5 separate regions of the Mus musculus genome follow, and all the other regions are reported to be linked to region 4. Evidence: microRNA targets listed by miRTarBase, many of them from high-throughput screens and not tested one by one. Region 4 holds a microRNA gene; each other region holds the end of a gene's coding sequence.

The links. Region 4 holds the annotated microRNA mmu-miR-758-3p (UUUGUGACCUGGUCCACUA, at 3,071-3,089, shown strand). A microRNA usually pairs through its seed, bases 2 to 8, with sites in the 3' UTR of a target mRNA and lowers its output. Matches are read on the target gene's strand: a 7mer-m8 pairs with bases 2 to 8, a 7mer-A1 pairs with bases 2 to 7 and ends in A, and an 8mer does both.
Region 1: the mRNA of Cdr2l is a reported target of mmu-miR-758-3p. Seed matches in the 3' UTR shown: 7mer-m8 at 1,154-1,160.
Region 2: miRTarBase lists Gpr158 as a target of mmu-miR-758-3p. Seed matches in the 3' UTR shown: 7mer-A1 at 2,698-2,704.
Region 3: miRTarBase lists Ank3 as a target of mmu-miR-758-3p. The part of its 3' UTR that is shown has no 7-base or 8-base seed match.
Region 5: the mRNA of Asap3 is a reported target of mmu-miR-758-3p. Seed matches in the 3' UTR shown: 7mer-m8 at 1,971-1,977, 7mer-A1 at 1,980-1,986 and 7mer-A1 at 2,320-2,326.

What each region holds. Positions count from the first base shown.
Region 1 is chr11:115,393,521-115,398,260 of GRCm38, forward strand. Cdr2l (cerebellar degeneration-related protein 2-like) reads left to right here. Exons shown (of 5, transcript NM_001080929.1): 5 at 1-2,612. The coding sequence ends at 717. It overlaps Gm32013 (a long non-coding RNA gene), which reads right to left. Exons shown (of 3, transcript XR_880312.3): 3 at 3,919-4,740. Among named protein-coding and RNA genes, the nearest start is that of Gm32013, 5.4 kb to the right of the region's middle.
Region 2 is chr2:21,827,380-21,831,379 of GRCm38, forward strand. It overlaps Gpr158 (G protein-coupled receptor 158), which reads left to right. Exons shown (of 11, transcript NM_001004761.1): 11 at 1-3,165. The coding sequence ends at 314. Among named protein-coding and RNA genes, the nearest start is that of Gm39766, 13 kb to the left of the region's middle.
Region 3 is chr10:70,015,122-70,019,824 of GRCm38, forward strand. Ank3 (ankyrin 3, epithelial) reads left to right here. Exons shown (of 43, transcript NM_146005.3): 42 at 447-532. The coding sequence ends at 512. Among named protein-coding and RNA genes, the nearest start is that of Ccdc6, 80 kb to the right of the region's middle.
Region 4 is chr12:109,709,788-109,714,527 of GRCm38, forward strand. It overlaps Mir758 (microRNA 758), which reads left to right and starts at 3,023; the gene lies at 3,023-3,103. It overlaps Mir411 (microRNA 411), which reads left to right and starts at 388; the gene lies at 388-469. Mir299a (microRNA 299a) reads left to right here and starts at 851; the gene lies at 851-913. Mir299b (microRNA 299b) reads right to left here and starts at 906; the gene lies at 858-906. It also overlaps Mir380, Mir1197, Mir323 and Mir329.
Region 5 is chr4:136,243,309-136,248,048 of GRCm38, forward strand. Asap3 (ArfGAP with SH3 domain, ankyrin repeat and PH domain 3) reads left to right here. Exons shown (of 25, transcript NM_001008232.2): 24 at 140-233; 25 at 481-3,265. The coding sequence ends at 552. It overlaps Tcea3 (transcription elongation factor A (SII), 3), which reads left to right and starts at 4,649. Exons shown (of 11, transcript NM_011542.2): 1 at 4,649-4,740.

The DNA.
Region 1 (4,740 bases), not on the chromosome of region 4:
ACGGAGCTGGAGCGACAGCTGTGTGAGATGGAGGGCTGCCGCCTGCGCGTGCAGGAGCTGGAGGCCGAGTTGCTGGAGCTGCAGCAGATGAAGCAGGCCAAGACCTACCTGCTGGCCCGGGAGGAGCACCTGGCTGAGGCTCTGCTGGCGCCCCTCACTCAGGCCCCTGAGGCCGATGACCCCCAGCCAGGCAGTGGAGATGACTCTAATGCCCAGGATGGTGTCTCCTCGCCTGCCGCTTCCCCCAGCCACGCAGTGCGCAAGAGCTGCAGTGACACGGCGCTCAATGCCATAGTGGCCAAAGACCCAGCCAGCCGCCATGCTGGCAACCTCACGTTGCATGCCAACAGTGTGCGCAGGCGCGGTATGTCTATCCTGCGGGAGGTGGATGAGCAGTACCACGCGCTGCTGGAGAAATACGAGGAGCTACTGAGCAAGTGCCGGCAGCACGGTGCCGGAGTGCGGCACGCGGGGGTGCAGACCTCACGGCCCATCTCCCGGGACAGCTCCTGGAGGGACCTACTGGGGGGCGAAGAGAGCCCGGGAGAGGGCAAGGCGGGTGAGAAGAGCCTAAGCCAGCACGTGGAGGCTGTGGATAAGCGGCTGGAGCAGAGCCAGCCGGAGTACAAGGCACTCTTCAAAGAGATCTTTGCCAGGATCCAGAAGACCAAGGCCGACATCAACGCCACCAAAGTCAAGACACACAGCAGCAAGTGACCCCTCTCTAGGCCTGTCGCCTCCCTCCGCCTCCCGACCAGAGGGGTCCCTCATGCCTGGCTGGCAGCCTCCTGGCAAGTGAGAAAGCCCTTTATGCAGCAATATATCATAGCAGGTGGCTGGGGACACTGCATATTCCCTGCTGGTGGCTCGGCTCACCTGTTCTGCCTCCCTTGGCCACTTTGCTTCAGCTCAAAGGCACAGCTCAGTTTAAAAGCCAAACACACTCCCCACCCCGCCACTGCCACTCCACCACTGTCCCTGGGGGCTTTTCAGCTCCCCCAGCCCTCAGCTTCTGGACCCCAGGCTTCACCCTCAGATTGCTGCCAGTCTTCTGCAAGCCTTTCTAGCTTTGCCCTCCAAAGTTGTTTTTGTTTTTTGGTTTTTTTTTTTTTTTTTTCTGAGAGATTTGCAATGCAAGGCCTCCTGAAGCCTTGTCACAACTGGAAACACTTGAAAGGGGACCTCAGAGCCAGCCATTGCTGGTGTCTGGAGTCTCCCAGACCACTCACTGCTTCTTGCCAGTTATGACTGTCATTCCCTTCGCACCAGCTGTACCACTCCCAGAGGTCTGAGCAGGCCACAGATAGCCCCCACCTTGCAGAGCAGGAAGTTTAGCCAGGCTCGAGTGTATCCCCTCCAGCCCTGGCAAAGGGCTTCTGCTCACCACAGATCTATAGCCAGTCTGAATAGAGGAAGAGAGAACCCCACAACAGCCATACACGGGTAGTGTCCCTTTCCTCTCAGAGCCAAGTTCCATTCCTGGAGTTATCCTCTAGGCATGAAGCCTTCCAGGGGCCGGGATGGTAGGGAGTTTCACCCCTTCCTCCCTCCCCAAGCCTGCAAACCACCTTTGCTTTCATTCCTTTCTCTGCGCCTGCCCCCATCTCAGGGACCATGATGTCTCATCCAGTCCTCTCTTCCTCAGGCCACCCAGGGACAGTTCACATCTGCAGCCTTCAGAATGTCCTGTAGGAGTGTCACCAACCCAGGTCCAAGTGTTCATGCCTGTCCTTCACCAGGGACTGTAGGACCCTTACTTGTTTTGTTTGGTTGGGCTTTGATCTGTTTTTTTGTTTTGCTTTGTTTTGTTTTGTTTTTTTGAGACAGGGATTCTCTGTGTAGCCCTGGCTGGCCTGGAACTCACTCTGTGGACCAGGCTGGTCTCCAACTCAGATCCTCCTGCCTCTGCCTCCCAAGTGCTGGGATTAAAGGTGTGATCTACCACTGCCGGGCCCTCATGTTGCGTTGTGTTCTTAAGTTGAGGAAGAACTGTCTCCTCTTCCACCTTTCTACAGAATGCCTCTTCTTTACCTCCCGCCTCTATGGGGATGACTTTTGAGGCCCCACCTGGGTCAAGGGTTCAGTATTTTAGTCTAAAACTTCAGAAAGTCAAGCATCACTTAAGACATGCCCAGGGCTCCAGCTTGCCCTCAGCAGTCCTTCAGGACTTCTGGTTCCTTCCGCCACCCTTCTCAAGATTCTAGAAATCAAAGGAGCCATACAATCCGGCAGGAGGCAGTGACTGTGGTCTCAGTGCTGGGAGCCCAGGAGGAACCGTCATGCCTTACCTCCTTCTAATGGGTAAAGGGGCTTTCTTATCAAGCATGTCTGACATCCCTGGAGAGGCTACGCTGTTCCAGGTGGCACTGGGATGCCAGTTGGCAGCTGGATCCTTCTGTTCACACGACTTGGAACCTTTTGTCCTTTGGGGCTGGGCACCTCCAGACCCTCTGTGTGTCCCTGTCATCTGGGGATGGGGAGGAATTCAGGCCTGTTCACTTCCCCAGTTCTGTAGCAGCCGATCAGCGTCACCTTTGAAGTATACATGAGAGAAATATATTTACAAATGCTTTATTCTCTTCTTTAATAAAAAGTGCACCGGTATTCTAGAAGTCCAAGTGACCCTGGGTCTATCGTTTCGCCTCCGAGTCTCACGGGCCCCCTGCCCCTTGCCATGCAGCACTGCGGATGACGGGTGTGTCCTTTGAGGTTGCTTTGTGCCCTGAAATCTCAGCGTTCTCATGACTACTCACCTATGATTAGACAGCCTGCAATCAGCCCTCAGGAAAGTCTGTGTCTATGAAGAGCCTGCTATGCCAAGCACTCTGGTCAACAAAGCACAAAGGGTCTGGATCGCCCTAGAGTTTACTTTCTGGCTTGGGGAGAGTCCCCCCAAAGCAACTACAAATAAAAGCAAGTGACCTAACAATGGGGGCAGGAAGGTGGAGCTCTATCAGACACAGCATTCATGATCAACAGTGTGGGGGGAGTGCTTGTCATTTTGAGACAGGATCTCATGGACGTTAAGTTAGACTGAAGCTTGCTATGCAGTGAGTGATGAGGGTGGCCTTGAACTTCTGACCCTCCTGCCTTTACTTCCCAAGTGCTGGGATTATAGAAATTTGCCACTACGTCCAGTTTCTCTGGTACTAGGGATTGAAGCCAGGGTTTTGTACTTGTTAGACACTGTCACTGGACCACACCCCCAGCTTCTTCCTCCCCCTCTCTCCCTCTTCCTTCTCCTCTTCTTCCTCCTCCTCCTCCTTTCTTCTTCTTCTTCTTCTTCTTCTTCTTCTTCTTCTTCTTCTTCTTCTTCTTCTTCTTCTTCTTCCTCCTCCTCCTCCTCCTCCTCCTCCTCCTCCTCCTCCTCCTCCTCCTCCTCCTCTTCTTCCTCTTCTTCTAGACATGGTTTCGGGACTGAAGAGATGGCTCAGCAGTAAAGAGTACTTTTTGTTCTTGCAGAGTACCTGGGCTCGGTTGCCAGCACCCAGATCTCAATTATCTGTACTCTAGTTTCAGGGGATCCAATGCCTTCTTCCGGTTTCTGCAGGCACCAGGCATACACATGGTACACATATATATACATGCAGGCAAAACACTCACACTCAAACAATCAAACAAATGAAAAAACCCAGACAGGGTATCACTGTGTACACCAGGCTGGCCTGGAACTCAGAGATCCACTGACCTTTGCTTCCCAAATGCTGGGATTAAAGGAGTGCACCACTGTGCCCTGACCCCACCTCTTATCTTAATCTGTGTAGATCGTAGATACAATATATGAGAAGACAGGTTTTTAAAAAGTCATAGAGCGACCCACAAAATGGCTCAACATGTAAAAATGACTCTATGTCCTCTGACTTCCGCAACAGCTTTGGCATGTAAAATAAATGTAAAAAAATAAATGTAATTTTTTTTTAAGTCATAGAGGCCTGCTGTAAGATGGCTCGGCATGTCCTGGTAACATGAGTTTGGGCCCCAGAGTCCATGTAAAGTAGGAAGGAGAGAAGCCCACTCCTCGAAGTTGTCCTGACCCCCTCGTGTCCACAATCACAGGCGTGTGCCTCCACACCAGGCCTTCACTTTCTTACTGCACTTAGAGTAGGCATGCCTTTCTGAAAGCTTCAGGGACCCAGAACTCTTGGTCGCCACCCTCATCCCTGGTTCCGACACTCCTAAGGTCTCGTTGCTTCAGTCTTGGGTCTCAGCATCATCACACGGAACAGGAGATGCCTGTGACCATTCTTGTCCGGTGTCCCTCTATTGTTATTGAGAAATGATTTTTGCCAGGCATGGTGGCACATGCCTTTAGTTAGGGGGCAGAGGCAGGCAGATCTCTGTGAGTTCAAGGCCAGCCTGGTCTACAAAGTGAGTTCCAGGACATCCAGAATTGTTCCACAGAGAGATCTTGCCTTGAAGAATCCAGGAGGAGGGGTTTATTATGCGAAATAAGTGTGCTGGGCTGTAATGTTTAGCCCCTGTGGCCTTACAGGAATTTGCTGGGACTTCAGAGCTTCCATGGTACTGGGAGTTTAGGTGTACAGCTTATCACACTTGGCTCTGCCTTCCCTTTTCAATAGCCTTCTTTTCAAACCTACTTAGACAGTTTTCACCTACAATTTTTTTTATTGTGAAAAAATATATACATATTTAGAACTAGCCTCCGGGGCTGAGTTTGGATCGTCCCCCTTTTGCTGGCAACACCCAAAGTCCCGCTGGTGAGGAGCCAGTTGAGCACAC
Region 2 (4,000 bases), not on the chromosome of region 4:
ATGGAAGCCAGCTCTACACAACCAATATGTGTGCTGGGCAATATGAAGAACTGCCCCACAAAGTCGTAGCACCAAAAGTAGAGAATGAAAATCTCAACCAAATGGGAGACCAGGAGAAACAGACATCTTCCTCTGTGGATATCATTCCTGGCTCCTGTAACTCAAGTAATAACTCCCATCAGCCCTTAACATCACGAGCCGAAGTGTGTCCCTGGGAGTTCGAGCCCCTAGAACAACCAAATGCTGAAAGAAGCGTAACTTTACCTGCCTCCTCTGCTTTAAGTGCAAATAAGATACCAGGGCCTCAGAAATAGGAAGTCTGGGACACTTTCAAAGTGGACCACCCTGGGAAGAAAGGGGTAATCCCGAGTTTGATAAAAATAGATCTGAAAATCACAAGTTACCAAGGCATCTTTGTTAGCCTAGGGAAACATGGCACATAGTGCAGTAAGGTGAAGGCAAGGGCTGGAGAAGGCCAGAAAAAGGCAATTATGCATCATAAGAAGGAAGGCTGACTCTGCCATGAAAAGCCAGATCAACACTGGAGGACAGCTTAGCATTTCCGCCTGTTTAAGGGACATTGCCCTGTCTGTCTTTACACATGGGATTGAATGGTACCAAGCAAGATTCACCAGGAGGCATGGAAGACAGACGCATGGATTTTAAGATGGGAAAACTTAGATAAATGTGACTGTGATTCTAAGTAGCTGACTGAAAAGCCAACCTTCATTACCTATTTAACCTTGGTAGCACTGCTAACTTAATGCACCCTGATACCTTTTATATACACGATTGCTCTCATTTTCTTAAAATCTGTTCCAGTACATTGTTGTGTCTTGTATTCAAGCATTCCAGATTGTATAATTTTTGCAAATAACTTTGATATTATATGACACAACACATTTATGCAATCTGCAGCTACTCAATTGTCATTGCAACCTACCAAATACCTGCTATCATCTACCAAGTGTGGTTGAGTCTTGGAGTACAGTAAGCTTTCTCTGGCTTAGGAAGCCATAACAGTTAAGATGAAAACTTTTAGTTTGGGCTGTGGTTTATATAGTGAAGTTGGGTCTGACTCTTTTGTTTCCCACCATGGCTTGTTGTAATGTCTTAATTTTTAAATATAAGTTGAGTTGCTTATTCTACACTTCTTGTAGGGACTCTGAAGCTTTATTAATCTCGGAGATGAAGTGGTCCTGTTTAGTCATATGTCTCAGTAAGTTAAGGACAACTTATCCATTGTTTGTTCCAAGTCAGAGCTAAATCAACCCAATGACTCTTTCAGTATTTCACATTAGCATTTCCTAAGGAAGAAGCCGAATGAGGAAACTATGCTGTACATTGTTACCAACAGAAGAGGCCAACTCTAGGAGCGCCTTAACAACGAGTGCATACTGCAGGTCCAGGAAATTGCCTTTCATGACAAATACAGAAAGGTCGCTCCTAATAGCTCCAGGGATTATTTTTATAAAGAGAAAAATTAATGATAGCATCAAGATCATTGTATGGATATATTTTTATTATGCATACTGAAAATATATTTTAAATTACCTTAAACTATTTATTCTCATAAACTTTTATTCATTGCTTCATCTAGGTACAGAATTTGCTGGGCTCAAATCCCAAAGAGATTTTATAACTTGATTTACTCAAAGCCCATAGGTGGTACAGGCTCTTTACACTCCCCAGTACCAGAACTTACAAGTCCTTCAAACTGTCCTTGCAAGCCACCTAGCTCAAAATGCAAAGCCTAAGATTGGTGTGCATACATCAAAGCATATCTTCTAGAACTTGCTGCATTCCATGCTGATCTCTAGCATAAACATCCTGAGCTTCTGACTTAGCTCTAAGGATTGCAATGCCGAAATAAGACTCTAAAATCCAGGCACATTTCATTTAAAGATCTATCACTTAAAACTACAGCCCAGGCTTGATTTTCTCCCATCATAAATACTAAACAACTGCTTATGTGACGAAGACATTTCCATCCATAGGAACTGTTTTACCTTTGGTGAGCAACAAAAAGAATTTGCTAGGATGATGCAGGAGGGGAGAAGGAATCAGAAGGTGGATATAAGGCTGTGCTTATGCTTTGTGTCTATCATCAAACTTTGCTCAGTGTTTACTTTTGTATTCAGGAGAAAGCAAGCACTTGAGGAGTTGGCAGAGCTGGGCATACCCATTTGCTTGCTTCATTCATTACTCAGGTTGGTGGGCTAGGTTTGGAAATCTATAGAGATTTTATTGCTAACTGCTGCCTTCATTAATCCCTATCATCCCCACCCTTCCAATCAAAGCCTATCTACTTTGTGACTTTAGAATTCTATTTTGAGGAGCATTTGTGAACTTGGCTTAGAGTTTGTAGACTTGCGTACTTGTTTCACTTGTGTCTGAGAGCTGTTAGCACTAGATTTGCCTCAGAATTAAGCAGGCAACTGTCACTGACTTCACTGCACTTCAGGGTGACCCTGCTTGATGTGTGGCTCACAGAAGATTTGCCAAATTATACCATAGTGACAGTCTGCCCCTGCCCCCCATAGATTACTCTCCACCGCCACAAATCAGCACAAATAGCTAGGTTCTTTCCTAGAGCTTCATTTTCATAACTTATCACCAAAAGAAATTGAACTCTGTCATTCTGGAAGCTCTTTTCCCTGGCTGAGAACAATAGAAAGTGCATACAGTGTGAAGGTCTCACAAACATTTGCTAGGTTGTCCTTTCAATGCATGTGCAGGCTGCACCCTGTTGTTGTTTTAAGCCAGGGTTTATAAATAAGTAGATTTATATCTGTCTTAATAGAAGTGTATATTTTATGCAAGAATTAAATGCTTTACAACATAAATTATGACTTGACCTCTCGTAAACTTCGGTGGCAATACGGATTGAATCCCGACAGTTGTCTTGTATTTGCTTCCTAGGTTTCTGCATGCGAGTGGTGATAGGTAGGACTGACAACACACTGCCTTTGACTTCTAGCACTTAGCAGTCAAGAGTTGTAGAGTCAACAAAGCTGTAAGTCTCTTCACTTAACCTGTGGTTCTTCTAAAACTATTATCTAAATCTACAGCATCCCACCATGGAATACCTGGTAATTTATGTTGTGATGTGTTGCAGCATGTAAATAACTATAACTTCTCTGCAATAAAACATTTATATGAAAATGATTGGTGTGTTCATGTCTCAAAATTTGACCATATTTATGCAACTTATTCAAAGGAATTACATATAGCTTTATGACATTGGTTCCCTCTGTGTATGTGTGTGTGTCTTCTTGTTGCCTTCACAATGCTATCGCATTGTGTGTATGTGATGTTAGTGAGTTGTTTGTGTGTGTGTGCATCTTCTTGTTGCCTTCATAGTGCTGTTGCATTGTGTGTATGTGGTGTGATTGTGGTGTGTTTGTGTGTGTGTGTGTGTGTGTGTGTGTGTGTGTGTGTGTGTGGTGTTCATTCGGGTCCTAGTTTCTTTGTTCTAAATTTAAAATCTGTTGAAAGTTCTTCACTAAAATGTTTCGATAAAAATGTATTTCACCCCACATAAGCTGGTCAAGATGTTATGTATTTTATGACATTTTCCACCATGAATATTTGCAAAGACATTTGCAAAGAATATTGCTCCAATTTTGGGCTATTTTTCTTTTTAAACATTTGTTCATAGAAAAGTGGAGGGCTAAGTTCAGGAACACTGTATGTTCAAATTTACCGTTAACTGAGGAGAAGGCAGATAATGGAATGTTTAAGCAGGTTTCTAATTTCTGTCTCTTCTTTTGTGGTGTGAAAGCCATAAACTTACAGAAATAAAACTGTCTAATGAAATGAACGTGGAAAATAGGAGATAAATATAGGATAAAGGCTGTGCTACTGAGTACTCACAATCTAGAAAGAAAAGTAAATGGGGCATGAATAAAAGTCCATGGCAGTCATGTAGAAGATACCACTGTTTCAATTCAATCAACAACAGAAAAGATAAATGGGGGTGTTTGTGGATAAAAGAGAA
Region 3 (4,703 bases), not on the chromosome of region 4:
AGGGCACTTTGTCCTAGCTTCGTGCTTATTTGGGAAGTCCAAGTCACACTACCACAGACTAGTTATGGCTCCGCTGACCTACAAATCTCATCAGCTACAACCAATGGGGATCGTTAACGGTTGGGGTTCAGGTGCTTTGTGGGTATGTTTAGCAATTTCTTCCACCTTATGTTAGGAAACAGGCTGACTGCTCTTTGAAACCATTAACCCTCCGTGTTGTTATGAAGTCTCGTTATGCTGTCATTACCTTGAAAGTGCTGACGCATGCTGTGGCATGTTGGGGAGCTGCTCTGTGCAGTCAAAGCCAAGGTCATCTGTGTCTGAGGATGCGACACGGCCTGGTGCTCTCACCCATTTCTCCTTCCTAATCCAGCCTCCAGGAATCAGTGTGGGAAACTGCTTTCAAACTCTTCCACTGCAAACACGTAACATGTGCTCTCCTCCAGCAGGGAGAAGGCTATAAGGTGAAGACGAAGAAGGAAATCCGGAACGTGGAGAAGAAAACCCACTAGTGACAGTGACGTCAGTCCAGGTGGGAAGTACACTTACGTCAGCAGCTAGACTTAAAAATCTTGAGAATTTTCTGGGTTCTCGGAATAAGTATATTCCTATATTCCCTTTCTCCTTCTTTCCTGAAATCTCACTGGAAGATGAAATGAAATAAATCTTGTTTTTATTTCTTTACATGAATGCAGATGTATATATGTATATATGTAAGTGTGTATATCTATGCATGTGTATGTATGTATCTACATACATGCATATGCACATTGAACTTTAACTCAAGTTGGGTCTATAAACATTCTCCATGTTTATGGCTTCTGCAGAAGCACATGCAAGCATGACTTGAGTCTGCTACTCTCTCACCATGAGGCTCCCTGGTATGTACAGTCATTGTGGAAAGACAACAGATCTGATGGCCTGTGCCCAAGTTTGAGTGTCGAGTTCAAGGGCAGCCAAAGTTATACAGAGAAACCCTGTTTGGGGGTGGAGGGTGGAGGTCTCCACATCTAAGTTAAATTGGAATTCCATACACCTTTTTATGTAAGCATAGACACAATTAGGAGTCCAATCACACAGGCTTTCTAGAAGTTAAATGCTTATTAAGTACGCTGTTTACATGTGTGTGGACTCTTGCTCTTGTTTTTCTGGATTTCACATTAGTGCCTTTTTGATACAGATATGATCAGAAAGCTAATCTGGGGTGAGGACACAGCTTTGGGAAGTTGTATCTTCAGGGCCTCTCCTCTCTGTCCTTTCAGTCTCTGGGTCAAAGTGACAGAGAGTAGGAATTCTAGTCTCATTTTCTCACCTGTCCTCCCTGCCACCAAAAACTCCCTGATCCTCCATTACAGGGATAAGGGGTTGAGAAATAACCTCATTTTAGGTACCTACGGCTTAGGTTTTATTTCATTGTTTTGAAACGTGACCTGCGGGAGCCCAGGCTGGACTTCGGCTTCCTTTGTGCCTGAGGATGTCCCCGAACTCTTGATCCACTTGCCCTTCCCCCGTGCTAGCATTCCAGGTCAGTACCACACCATGCACAGTTATGCAGTCTCGAGGATCAAATGCAGTCTTGGAGACCAAACCGGGGGCTTCATGAATCTTTACCGTCTGAGCTGCATCTCCACCCTCCCAGGAAGATCCTTAGTTATCCCTGACAGATAACCTTTCCTTTGCATCCTGTGAGGCTTGCTTTCCGTAGAAACAGCAATCGCAGGATGCCTGCTGCACTAGACTCATGTTTGTGTTCACCACAGATGCCCTGGAAACAGAATTTACCATGTGGACTCCAGAGTCTTTCTTTGTGGCTAATTCTCTTGGATTGGCACCCTTAGTGTCCCCGGCTAACTTAAGCAGCGGGTCCTAAAAGGTTAAGAAAATTACCCACAGTCTCATAAAAGCAGCAGAACTAGGAAATAAGTCCTAACTGACTCCCTCCCGAATGCTCCTCCTCAGACTCACTGCAGACCTGACCTGGCGGGTCGCCCCAAGTCAACAGGAAGCAAATAGAGAAAGACCATCATCTCGGTCTCCGAGGTTGGGGTGGATGGGTTCAGTCACTTTATGAATTATAGATATGTTGTCATTTTAAGGGATAATTCACAAATAATTATAGTTTTGGCCAGGGAGGAAACTAAATAGAGAGCTCAGACTCAAGGATTTCTGTCTTTCTTTCCTCTCCTCTGTCCTTCTTTCTTAGGTAAAGGGAAGGGGGTTAAAAAGAGAAAATGGGAATAGAGTAATATTATAAGAAATTAGACAAACAGGGATAGATTATTACATTTATTCCTAAAGCATCTTATAGCCATAATCTTTGTATATTGATACAAAATTTAAAATTAGTTGTGCTACTCTTAGATAGAAGTTGTGCCTATACAACTCATTGGGGAATACAAGGCTCAGACCCAGGCCTTTCGATAGCTGCTATTACAAACTGTTTAGAATTAAGTAATGTAAGTTCATGGTCAGATAGTCAAACGCACGGTCATATTAGATTCTCATTTAGTTAATTACAATAAAATGTTTTCAAGGTTATTCAGACAGTAAATAGCTAAAAATAGTCAATGTTTAACAATTCCTTTAGGGGGCTGGAAAGATGGCTCAGCAGTTAAGAGCACTGACTACTCTGCCAAAGGTCCTGAGTTCAATTCCCAGCAACCACATGGTGGCTCACAGCTATCTGTAATGGGATCCGATGCCCTTTTCTGGTGTGTCTAAGGACAGAGGCAGTGTACTCATATAAATAAAAATAAATAAATCTTTAAAAAATGTAAACAATTCCATTAGGCTATATATAGATAGATGGTCTTCAAAATGAACTCCAAGTTACTCACCTGTGGGGATTTGATCTTCACTCTCTAAAACCCACAGGAGGTGACTTAATGTGCTAGGTAAAAGCGTCACCACTGAGCTAACCCGCACAGCCCAAGGCCTTTGGGGATACGCGCTAAACCTCAAAGTAGCCTAACCGCTAAGTACTAGCGTTACAGGCTGAGTGGTAGAGTACTTACCCAGCATGCACAAGGCTCTGCCTGGGTTCAGGCCCCAGCAGCAAATGCATCTCTTCACATACCTGTCCCCCACAAACTGGGAAATGCATGCGGGTAATTCTAGCTCTTTAGCCGCTGAGGCTGGACTATTGCAAGGTTTAGAGGACTCAGTTACCTATCCATCATTCCCAGTGGCAGTCTTTCTGGGCCTGGAGATCTCCGTGTGGCCATTGGGGACATAGAGGTGAATCGATAGGGGTGCCAGGTAGCTTACCAGCTCTATGGGTTTGGCCAAGTTATCCAGCTTGCATGTTGCCACTTCCTCAGAGGGAACAGTGAAGGAGCTTGGAACGACCCCTGGTTGAACAACAATAACCCTCTGTAGAAAGATAGTAGTAACATGCCTCCAACTTGTTTCAGAACTCACTCAGTTTTTCCACATAAATTGCTTAATAACAGTAGTTGCTAAGCCTGTAGGAACCCTCAATTGGGAGGCTCTATTATAAAAGTATTAGAAGAAGCAAGAAGGAAACAAGTGTAGCAGCTGGCCAAGCTCAGGCACAGCAGTGGCAGCAGGGGGAGATCTCAGCTTAGCCATCCATCCCTGCTTCAGGCGAGGGTGGTTTGCTACAGTCACTATCAATGGGTCTCATGGTAAACTGAGGCAGTCAGCAGACCAGGTTTCTACTCCTTTTCTTTACCAAGAAATGAAGCCCAAAGAGACCCAGACAAAGCCAGAGGAGGTAGTGACCATTCCTCTCCCCTTCAGAGCCTGAGGTAGTTCATCCCACTTGGGGCCTCTCTGGGACATTTTCCCAGAATGTATCTGAGATACAGATAACTTGCCATCTGTTTTCCGGATACAGGATGGAGACAGAATTGAAGCCAGGTATTTTGGCTCTTGCCATTTTAATTCTCTGTGTAGTAGGGACTTAATACTACCCTGTTATTAGGATTGAGGTAATTCACTTCACAGCAGTGCCAGATATATAATAAACGCTTAATAAAGAAAAATGAAGCAAATGCATTTTAAAATATGCATTCATCTGCTTCCAGTATGTCACTTAACCCCCTTGCTGGGAAAGAGCAAAGTTGAAAAGGCCTCATTTATTGGTACTAGCTGAAGAGGAAAACTGTTGTGAGATGGGTATTAGGCCATTAAGTTTTCAGCCAAGTGTGCACTGGTGCACGTCTCTAATCATAGCACTTTGGAGACGGAGGCAAGAAGATCCAGAATTCAAGGCAAGAATGAGACTCAGTCTCCAAAAAGAGAGAAAGGAAAGAAGGAAGGAAGGAGGGAGGGTGGAAGGGAGGGAGGGAGGGAATAAGGAAGGAGAGAGAAAAAAAGACAAGAAAAGAAAAACCGAAAACTAAAATTAAAGGAAAAGTAAACCTTAATTTTTGATTATAGTTTCATTTTGTAATGAAAATTACTGCTTTTTAAAAAGAAATAGGGCCAGGAAGATGGCTCCACAGGTGACTGTGCTTGCCACCAAGCCTAATGTAGTGGTTTGAATGAGAATGGCCCTGTAGGCCCATATTTGAATACTTGGCTCCACAGTTGATTGAACTGTTTGGGAAGGACTAGGAGGTGTGGCCTTATTGGAGGAAGTATGTCAGTGGGGGTGTGAGCTTTGAGGTTTAAAAAGCCCTCACCATTCTAAGTTAGCACTCTCTTTCTCTCTCTCTCTCTCTCTCTCTCTCTCTCTC
Region 4 (4,740 bases):
ATCTTTGTTTTTTTATTGCGTACAGGATATTTGGCTTTCCTAATTTGGCACCACTCCTGCACATTAGCCCCCTGCCGTGCATGCCCTTATGCCTACTGTCCCTGAGTGCCCATTCCTTCAGCACCCGGTAGGCACTTCAGCAGCATTTGTGGAGTAGTAACCCCCACAGCATCGTTTGTCTGCAACCTTTATGAGCTTTTGGAAGAGCTGCCGATTTTGGGGATGAGTTGCTGGTGTCAAACCTGACATGAAGATGAGACTCTTGGCTTTTGTGTGCCTGCCGCATGATGCATGCTTTGTGCCCAGCCAGACTCAAGATTCCACCAGCTCAATGGCCCAGAGGGCTTCCTGGACGTGCCCTCAGCCTTTGTCCTCGGCGTCTCTGTGTGGTACTTGGAGAGATAGTAGACCGTATAGCGTACGCTTTATCTGTGACGTATGTAACACGGTCCACTAACCCTCAGTATCAAATCCATCCCCGAGGCCCCTGGAGAAGATGCTGTCTTCGGGGAGACGCCAGTAGACTCATCATCAGGGCTTCTCCATGATGCTGGAAGAGATGGTTTTCAATATGGCGTGTGTTCTTTCCTGCATGATGGGAAATGACATAATCTCCCCCTTCCTCTGCTGAGCTCTGCCTTGGGAACTCTTGCCATCTCTGGGGAGGAGACCACAAAGCTTTCTGGGATCAGTGCTCTTCGTGACCTCAGTGACAGGGGTGTCTAGGCGACTCTTGGTTAGTAGACTCCATGACCTGCTTCTTCTCAACACCATCCCTGAAGAGGTGTCCTGAGGCAACCTGGCAGACATGAACCTTCTTACAGCTGTCCTTGCTGTCACGCGGTACTTGAAGAAATGGTTTACCGTCCCACATACATTTTGAGTATGTATGTGGGACGGTAAACCGCTTCTTGGTATCCAGCCCAGCCATCCAGTCCATACCATCCTCGAGCAAGCCTGAAGTGAGAGAAGAAACGTTGTTTTGGCTTGCTCTCTACATCGGGCTGCTTGGCCAAACATCCCTCTGCTTTTTGTGTGCTTTCTCTGTTAATTCATGTGGCAAGGTGTTCCTGTCAGCTTCAGTGCAGCCCTTAAGGGCTTCTTCAAGGATGATGACAACCTCCAGGAAGGTGTCCTACATCCCAACTGGGCATGCTCCCTCCCTCCTTAGGACTTGAAAAAGTGGCAATTAGCTCCACAGATGCTCATCATCAAGGGATGCTGCGTGTTTTCATCATCTGCAAAGCTATCATCAGATGCCTTCAAGACATTATGCCCATAGAAGGACAGCTAGGGCTACATGATACAGTGCAAAGACAGATGCATGAAGACACAGTCCCTGTTTCCACTGATGCTTCGTATATAGTATCTTTTTTTCCATATCAAGTCTAGCCTTCTAGAGGAAGATGACCCAGCCTGGCTCCTCCATGTATGCTTACAGATCAAAGTTGCTTCTTGGCTCACTTCTTCTTACCTCCAGCCCAGCCTTGGAGAACTTGCTGAAGATGCTGCTAGCCTCAGAGACAGGGCTCTGGTTCTTGCATCAGCAATGACCTCACGGTACCTGAAGAGGGATCAAGCAAACTGCATGTGTATTATTAACACCATTTGTAACCTGGCCTACTCTTTTCAATATCAACTTCAGCTTTGAAGGTTTCCAAAGAGGCCCCATTAACCTTGGGGGTGGGGGGGCAAGGCAGAAGGACAAATGCCTTGGGGTAGAGGTTGTCCATGCTTCTTGCTTTACTTACAGCGCATGTTAATTTGGTCCACCTTCCCATAATAGTGAATGCGCCTTGGGGGCTTCCTGTGAACAATATTTCCTTAAAGGCACAGTGCTAGTTACGGGGTCTTCTCTTCGCGTCCTTGCAAACTTCTCTTTGCTATATTCTCTGCATCTGCAGCAGGCAATGCATGGTGGTCTCTTTTCAACATTGCATCTAGGGTTTCCTGGAAGTGATAATCATGAGGAAAGAAGCCAGCTCCTGCACCACCCTCTCTCCATGGTACCTGAAAAGATGGTTGACCATAGAACATGCGCTACTTCTGTGTCGTATGTAGTATGGTCCACATCTTCTCGTTATCAAAGTCATTCGTGAGGGTTTTCCAGAGACCGAGCCAACTTCATGGGAGATATCCTGTCCTGGCTTCAGCACAGTACTTGGGGAGATGGTAGACTGTCGAGTGTGTGCGTTAATTCCAGCATGTACAGCATGGTCCACCACATCTCTGCATCAGCCGGTCACCAGGGGCTTTCTGAAAGCCATACCAATTGAGAGTAGGGCTCAGGCGGCAGACCCTATCCAACACAGATTACCCAGTGCTTGGCTACAGGCCATGTTCATTACCTACGACTCTGGCCATTTGATCCAAAGCCAATATTTGGCACCCAGCCCAGCCTTACAGGGCATCCTGGAAGTCATAGTGGCATTAAACATGAGTTTGTGGCCATTGCCACACATGCCGATTGCTGGTAGTTTGTGACACTCATTGAGAAGGCATTTTGGAGGTAACACCAAATTAAGTAAAGTGAGCTGGAATCAGCCAGCGTTACCTCAAGGTATTTGAAGATGCGGTTGACCATGGTGTGTACGCTTTATTTATGACGTAGGACACATGGTCTACTTCTTCTCAATATCACATCTCGCCTTGGAAGACTTCCAGGAGGTGACATCTGCTTTGAGGAAGAGCCAGTGTCCCGGTCTTCCTACTGCTGCTGCTTGGTACTTGGAGAGAGGTGGTCCGTGGCGCGTTCGCTTCATTTATGGCGCACATTACACGGTCGACCTCTTTGCGGTATCTAATCCCGCCTTGCGAGCTTTCCTGGAGCTAACACCAGCTGTGGGGTGGGGACACTAAATGTGTGTGCTAGCGCAACCCAGCCAGCGGGTTTGTCTTTTCTTGTGTCTGACAATAACTCTTGTGTGGCAGCCTTCTTCTCAGCAAATTTCTCTGGCTTGGCAGCTTCGTGGGCAGGGTGACTTGCAGACCAGGAAAGTGGCATCGACATGTGATACACGTGTGGGTGCGTGAGGTGGTTGACCAGAGAGCACACGCTATATTTGTGCCGTTTGTGACCTGGTCCACTAACCCTCAGTATCTAACCTTCCCTTGGAGAACTTCCTGGAAGAGATCTCAACTTTTGGGGACAGAGGCAATAAGCCAGCTGTACGCTGTTAGACTTGGAGACAGCATCCTCAGTACTTGCAACATATGTGCCTGTTATGGTAGTATTGGATGGGCTTCCAATGCTGTCCTATACTTGGATCCCTTCCTTGATATGGGGCCATCCAAGTTCAAGAAACGTACCATGTTGTCAGACATGACCAGGGTGTGTGTATGCCATTTATATATGGCACAGGTCGCAGGTCACCTTAGCACACTTGCATGCTAAATCTGTGGGAGGAATCATCTTTGGTTTGGGGGCATCTGTGCCTTTCTGTGGTTACCCAAAATGGTGGTAAGTCCTATAGCCAGTCTCTACTGCGCCACTGCTCTCTGGTTGTGACATAACTTCAGGATCATGCCATGGAGGTCTGCTGTACTGGGGCATGTGATGGGATGGCTGTCAGATATATATCAACTAATGGCTTGCTTGAGCACTTTGACTAACATCCAGTGTGCAACCCTGCATTCAACAGGCCTGCCAGGTCTGAAGGTCACGTTGGGGAATTACCGAGGTAGTCTTGTCAGTGTTCGCTTCTGGTACCGGAAGAGAGGTTTTCTGGGTCTCTGTTTCTTTGATGAGAATGAAACACACCCAGCTAACCTTTTTTTCAGTATCAAATCCCATCTTGGAGGCTTCGTGGTCCAGATCCCAGTCTCAGGGAAGGATGGTCCTGTCAGCATCCAGCCAGGGGACAGGAATAACTGGTTCTCCACAAAGCCAGCGAGTGGATTATCGTTCTGAATGGTGTCCTTTGTCCTCTAAACCCTCCCAGGCCTGCCAGGTCTGAAGGTCCAGTTTGGGAAGGTGTCATTGTTATTGTTAACTGAGGATGTGGAAGAGGGGTTTCTGTGTTTGAAACACATTTGGTCAACCTCTCTTCCCATCAGAACAAACTATGGAGGCCTTCTGGTCCATACCTCAGCCTCAGCTGAGGACACACTAATAGTTATGAACAAGTGAGTGACGGACAAAACCCATCCCATACATCAGATTTCTGTTGCCTGTGCTTCTAACCTTCAGTATCTTGTCCATTCTCAGGAGGACTTCTCAACCAATATGGTGTTCCAAAGTTGGGGAAGATGGCAGCCACCGAGGCAACTCTACCCCAGGTCATCACAGGTAGGTTGCACCCACTTTGCTTCTAACAGGTTAGACACAGCCACCCCCACACATGTCCAGCATGCTTTGGAGGCACGGTGATGGGCTTTTAATCAGCCAACCCCTGCTATAGGACTGTCTATTGTAGAGAACACCCACTGTGTCAGATGGTACCTAGATCCATGCTATTCACACACACCCACATCCTTGTAATAAGAGACTTGGAATCAGCAGTGTTCTAGCAGTAGGAAAGCAAACCTGAAATTGGCACACACATTTGCCCAGTGAGCTTTAAGATATGAAATCTGGAGCGGGGCAGTGGTGGCGCACGCCTTTAATCCCAGCACTTGGGAGGCAGAGGCAGGTGGATTTCTGAGTTCGAGGCCAGCTTGGTCTACAGAATGAGTTCCAGGACAGCCAGGGCTATACAGAGAAACCCTGTCTCGAAAAAAACCAAACCAACCAACCAACCA
Region 5 (4,740 bases), not on the chromosome of region 4:
TGAAGACCCAGCCTAGGGGCCTGGTGGATTCTGATTCTCCTCACCCCGCCCCCCCCCCTCCCAGCCTTGTTTGTCTACCTGGGTCCCTCTGCGGTGCTTCCGCCAGCAGAGTTAACAACCGGTCATCTTTGCCTTCCAGCTCAGAGAGCACTCGATCCTACAGACGGGGAGGCCGAAGTCTGGAAGACAGTCCCTCTGCCCGGCAGCCTCTGTGTAGTAGAAGGCACATTCCGGTAGGCGCACTTGTGTATGCTTTGAAGTGTAGGTGCCTGGGCTGTAGAGTTGGTTCAAGAACAGGCAGAGAGGGGAGGGAGACCTCTTTCCGTGGTGACAACACCGTGGGCTGAGGTAGCCACTGTTAAGCTTGGTGCCACCTTCCTGCTTAGTCCAGGACTGTGTGAGTTCGAGCCTGACTGTAGCCGTTTCCCAGAGAAGATGCAAAAGAAGCTTTAACTGGCAGCTTCATCCTTCTTCACCCAGGTTGGCCTCGTGGAAGGAGATGGCTCAAAGATCGGGGTTCTCCCGGATTCCCTGCAACTCTTGCACGACTAGCTCCTTGCTGACCCCTCTGCATGGCTCACACTGGACCCCAACATTCAGAGCTGGGACTTGAGACCGCAGATCTGGGAGCTCACATTCCTTATGGGAACCATGACCCTGCCAAGGACACTGGCCCTTCTGTGTTGGGGCTGACGTCCTGAGCCAGGCAGCCCTGGAGTTAGATCTGACAATGTCTGGGTTGAGTTAAGTTACACAACTCTCAATACCTACTATATTAGGATTGTGTTTCTCCCTACCAGCGTGGGACCCGTTCTCATCATTCATGCCCAGGTGCTGTCTCGTGGCCACTTATCAATCTGGTGACTTTCTTTAGCGAAGTCCAGCTTTATGTCCAGACCTTTGCTGGGTACTATGGATGCCACATGAATAGGACACACATCCCGCAGGTGCGGATCCTCACTGGAAAGCTGGGCTCAAGAACTGACTCGGAAGGAGCAGAGCTAGGTTGCAGAGGGATGGCTCTGAGCTCAGGGCCGGGACTGACCTCAGCTGGTCTCCTGTCTGGTCACTGCAGTTGTTACAGCCCAGTTCCGGTGGCCAAGGCCTGTGACTCCCAGTCTAAAGTATGCTCCATTAGAGGGCAGCCTTACCCTCCCTGGGGTCTGTACTGTGTCCCTCCGTCTGGAAGTAGAATATGACTCACCTGCCTTGATTTCACAGAAAGGAAAAGGATGGTCTGGGTTGACCTATCTCATTTCTCTCACTTTTCTCTCGATGAATTCAGAAGCCTGGGGGAACGAGGGATCAGGAAAGGAGAAAGGCGCTGGGAAGATAAGAGAAACTTCAAAAGTCTGCTTTCTAGGGCCAGAAATCCCACCATCGCTTAGTCCAATTACAAAGCCAGACCACCAACAACCATGGACAGCTCTGTTTCACACCTCCTTGGTGGTGGGGCCTGCAGGGGTGGGCCAAGCCGAACAGGGGAGGCCAGAGGGCACCAAGTGAGTAGCCAGCAGTGTGGCTAGGAATTGAACTGTGCACTCTGGAGGCTGCTGTGGTCCTTGGTCCTAAAACAGGATTGTTTCTGAGCCCCAGGTCAACTTGTGTTCATCTCATTCTTACTGTTTTACTTATCAAAGGATTCCTGGGGGAAGGGACGAATTCCCCTGGGAGACTCTTGGGACTTGGGATGCTTTCCCTGGCCAGGTTGGTAAAGAGTAGTGGTCAGAGAACAACAGGGAGTTTTGCCACAGGAGACATTTGGTGAGGCAAGGACTGGAGGGGGCATCGCTGAGCTCAGGGTGCCCTCAGCATCCTCCTTACAGCATCTCTTAATCTGTCTTGTGTCGTTGTAACGGAACGATAGAGGCTGGGTGCTTTCTACAGTAAAGAGTTTTCTTTGGCTTAGGGTTCTGGTGATTGGAAAGTCCAAACAGCATGCCATGAATGCCCTGTAAAAGGCCCCGTCTGTCACAACATCACAAAAGAGGAGAAAGCAAGCACTTATGTGCAGTAATCGCAATTTGCTTTATTTATAGAATCTCACTTCTGTAAGAACTCACTCCCTAGAGGCAGAGCCCCTCACATAATTGCCTTCCACTAGGCGCTGCCCCTTAAAGGCTCACTCACCCTTCCACATTGCCACACCAGGAAGGAAGAAAACACACTCAAAACACACCCACATGAGCCGGGCGTGGTGGCACACACCTTTAATTGCAGCACTCGGGAGGCAGAGGCAAGCAGATTTTTGAGTTCGAGGCCAGCCTGGTCTACAGAGTAAGTTCCAGGACAGTCAGGGCTACACAGAGAAACCCTGTCTCACAAAAAAACAAAAAACAAAACAAAAAAAAAACCCATACCCACATGGTATGGTTTATCCTCACAGCAATGAACTAGCCAATCCAAAATGTTGTCAGCAGCCAGGCTCAGAACCCCTGGTGTGCAGGAAAAGCACACTGGGCCAGAGCCTGAGGACCTGATTCGTGGCTCACCCATGGTCCCGACCACACCCCCTCTTGGTTGCCCTGAGATGATGAGTTGGGTAATGGAGTTTGTGAGGTGAGCCCTGAATGCATAACAAGGGGAGAAATGAAACAGAAAAGGTTTGTCAGCAGTGAAGGACAGAGAAGAAGGCTGTTGGGAAAGTGCTTGCCATACAACACGCAAGGTTGAGGATTTGAGTTCGAATCTGCAGGGCTTATGCCAAGAGCTAAGTACACAGTGTCCTCCCAGACTCCTGGCTCTGTGGAAGCAGACCCTGGAGGATCCCGGAAGCCTGCTGGGCAGCTCCAGGTTCAGTGAGAGACCCTGTCTCAAAACATAAGGAGGCTAGCAATTGAGACCACCACCAGTCTCTGGCTGCCTGCCTCCTGCCGAGTACACACACACACACACACACACACAAGCATAAAAGACGCTGGCACAGCTGCACACATCTGTAATTCCAGCATTCTGGGGACTGAGGCAGGGCCATAGTGAGTTAGCAAATACCTTTGCGCTGTCCCTTTGAGAGTAAAGAATGGGGTGTTTACCACCGATGGTGAAACCCCTCTGAGGGTATCAGTTCCCTGTCTGCCCCCCCCCCCCAAAGCTCACAGGGAAATAAGACAGTTGTGTGCATCTTTGTGTGCAGGTGACCTCTCTCTTGGACAGGTGGGCAGAAGGGATACAATGGGTACCAGCAAATGCTGGCTGTACCGAGGAGGCGGCCTCCCACTTCCTGAGATTGACTCTTCTATTTGCATAATAAAGTCTGACGCGTTTTCTTAGGGTCCTTCAAGCTTCTTTTGGCCAAGAGGCCTCCCAGAAGCTCCACTGAAGAAAAACCTGGCTTTGGCCACATGGTGTTAAGGCCCCGCCCTTCCGGACCCATCCCGGACCTCTCCACAACACTCCGCTATAGCCAAGGACTTTTCAGCTCCTCCCCCGGCCACCTCCTCACCTCCCCACCCCCTGCTGACATGTCAGTGATCCCCAAGCTTTGTTCTCTGAGTGCTCCAGGAGAGCCGTCTGGCTCAGGACGCTAGAAATACCTGGAACACAGTAGGAGCTCAGTAAATAGAATAACCGCTTGCGGCCTGACCGACTACACAGACCTCCCCCTCCCCCAAACTTCCATTCTGCCTTTTGAGGCAATAAATTTCACTTCTTGGGACGGGGATGAGGCCCCAGCTGGGCCTTACACTTGCCCTCTCTCCCTCCTCTCCCCACCCCAGCTGTGAGGAATACAGTCCTCTTTAATGGTTATTCTGCCCAGCCTGCCGCCCCTGAGATTTTTCTTGCTAGTTGACTGGATACCGTTTGTCGAATGAAAAAAAAAAAAAAACAAAAAACAAAAAACCTTGACCGTCATCACACTGCAGCAGTTGGGAGACAGGTGTCCACAACAGGCTCCAGACTTGTTTCTCTGAGGTTATCTCAGAAAGTTCCTTCACACACTGTGAGCCCTCTTCTGCCCCGCTTCAAATCAGAGACCCTCGCAGAAAGGTCATTTTCTGTCAGGAGGGGAACTAGGTCTTCAGCGAATTCTTGGAATTACCGCTCGCGAGCCGAGAGTGGGAGGCAGAGTTATTCCCTCCACCCCAAATTACTCTTCCAAGCCCACCCCCTGTGTACCGGAATCACCCAAAACTTAGTCTTTCGGAGCGTGGTCCCGATACCCCTTTGAGAGGTTGTTAGAAAAAATAAAGACTGGCCGGCAAAGGGCTCTGAGTATACCTCGCGAGTACGTGTACGGCACAGGCCTTGGGCGCACCAAGGAGCCTACCTAAGTTAGGGCAGAGCTGACGTCAAAATCTGCACCAAGATGCGATGAATTCACCAACTTTCCCAGCTTGGGCATAGCTCCCTCTGGGAGCGCAGTGATGCTGAGACCCGGCAGCTCTGTACTTCCCACTGCTATGCTGACACTCATCACCCCCGAACCCTCATGCTCGAATCTCCCTGGAGCCTGGGGCACCCCTAGGAGAGTTGGAAGAGAAGAGCCCCTTCTTCCAGATTGGTCCTCCCCTCCCACTTACACACCCCCTGAGGCACGACCCGCCAGGCTCAGGCAATCTTTGCCCGGGCAGTCCTTGAAGTCTATATTTAGTGCCCGCCACCCCTCCCCCCAGCGATGGGAGGGGCGCGCCCCGCCCCCTCCCGGCTCGAGTGTCCGGTGTGTTTGCGGCCCTTGCGGCTCGCGCCTTGGCGCCCGCTGCTGCCCTGCGCCCCTAACCCCGCCGTGCGTTGTGGACCAAC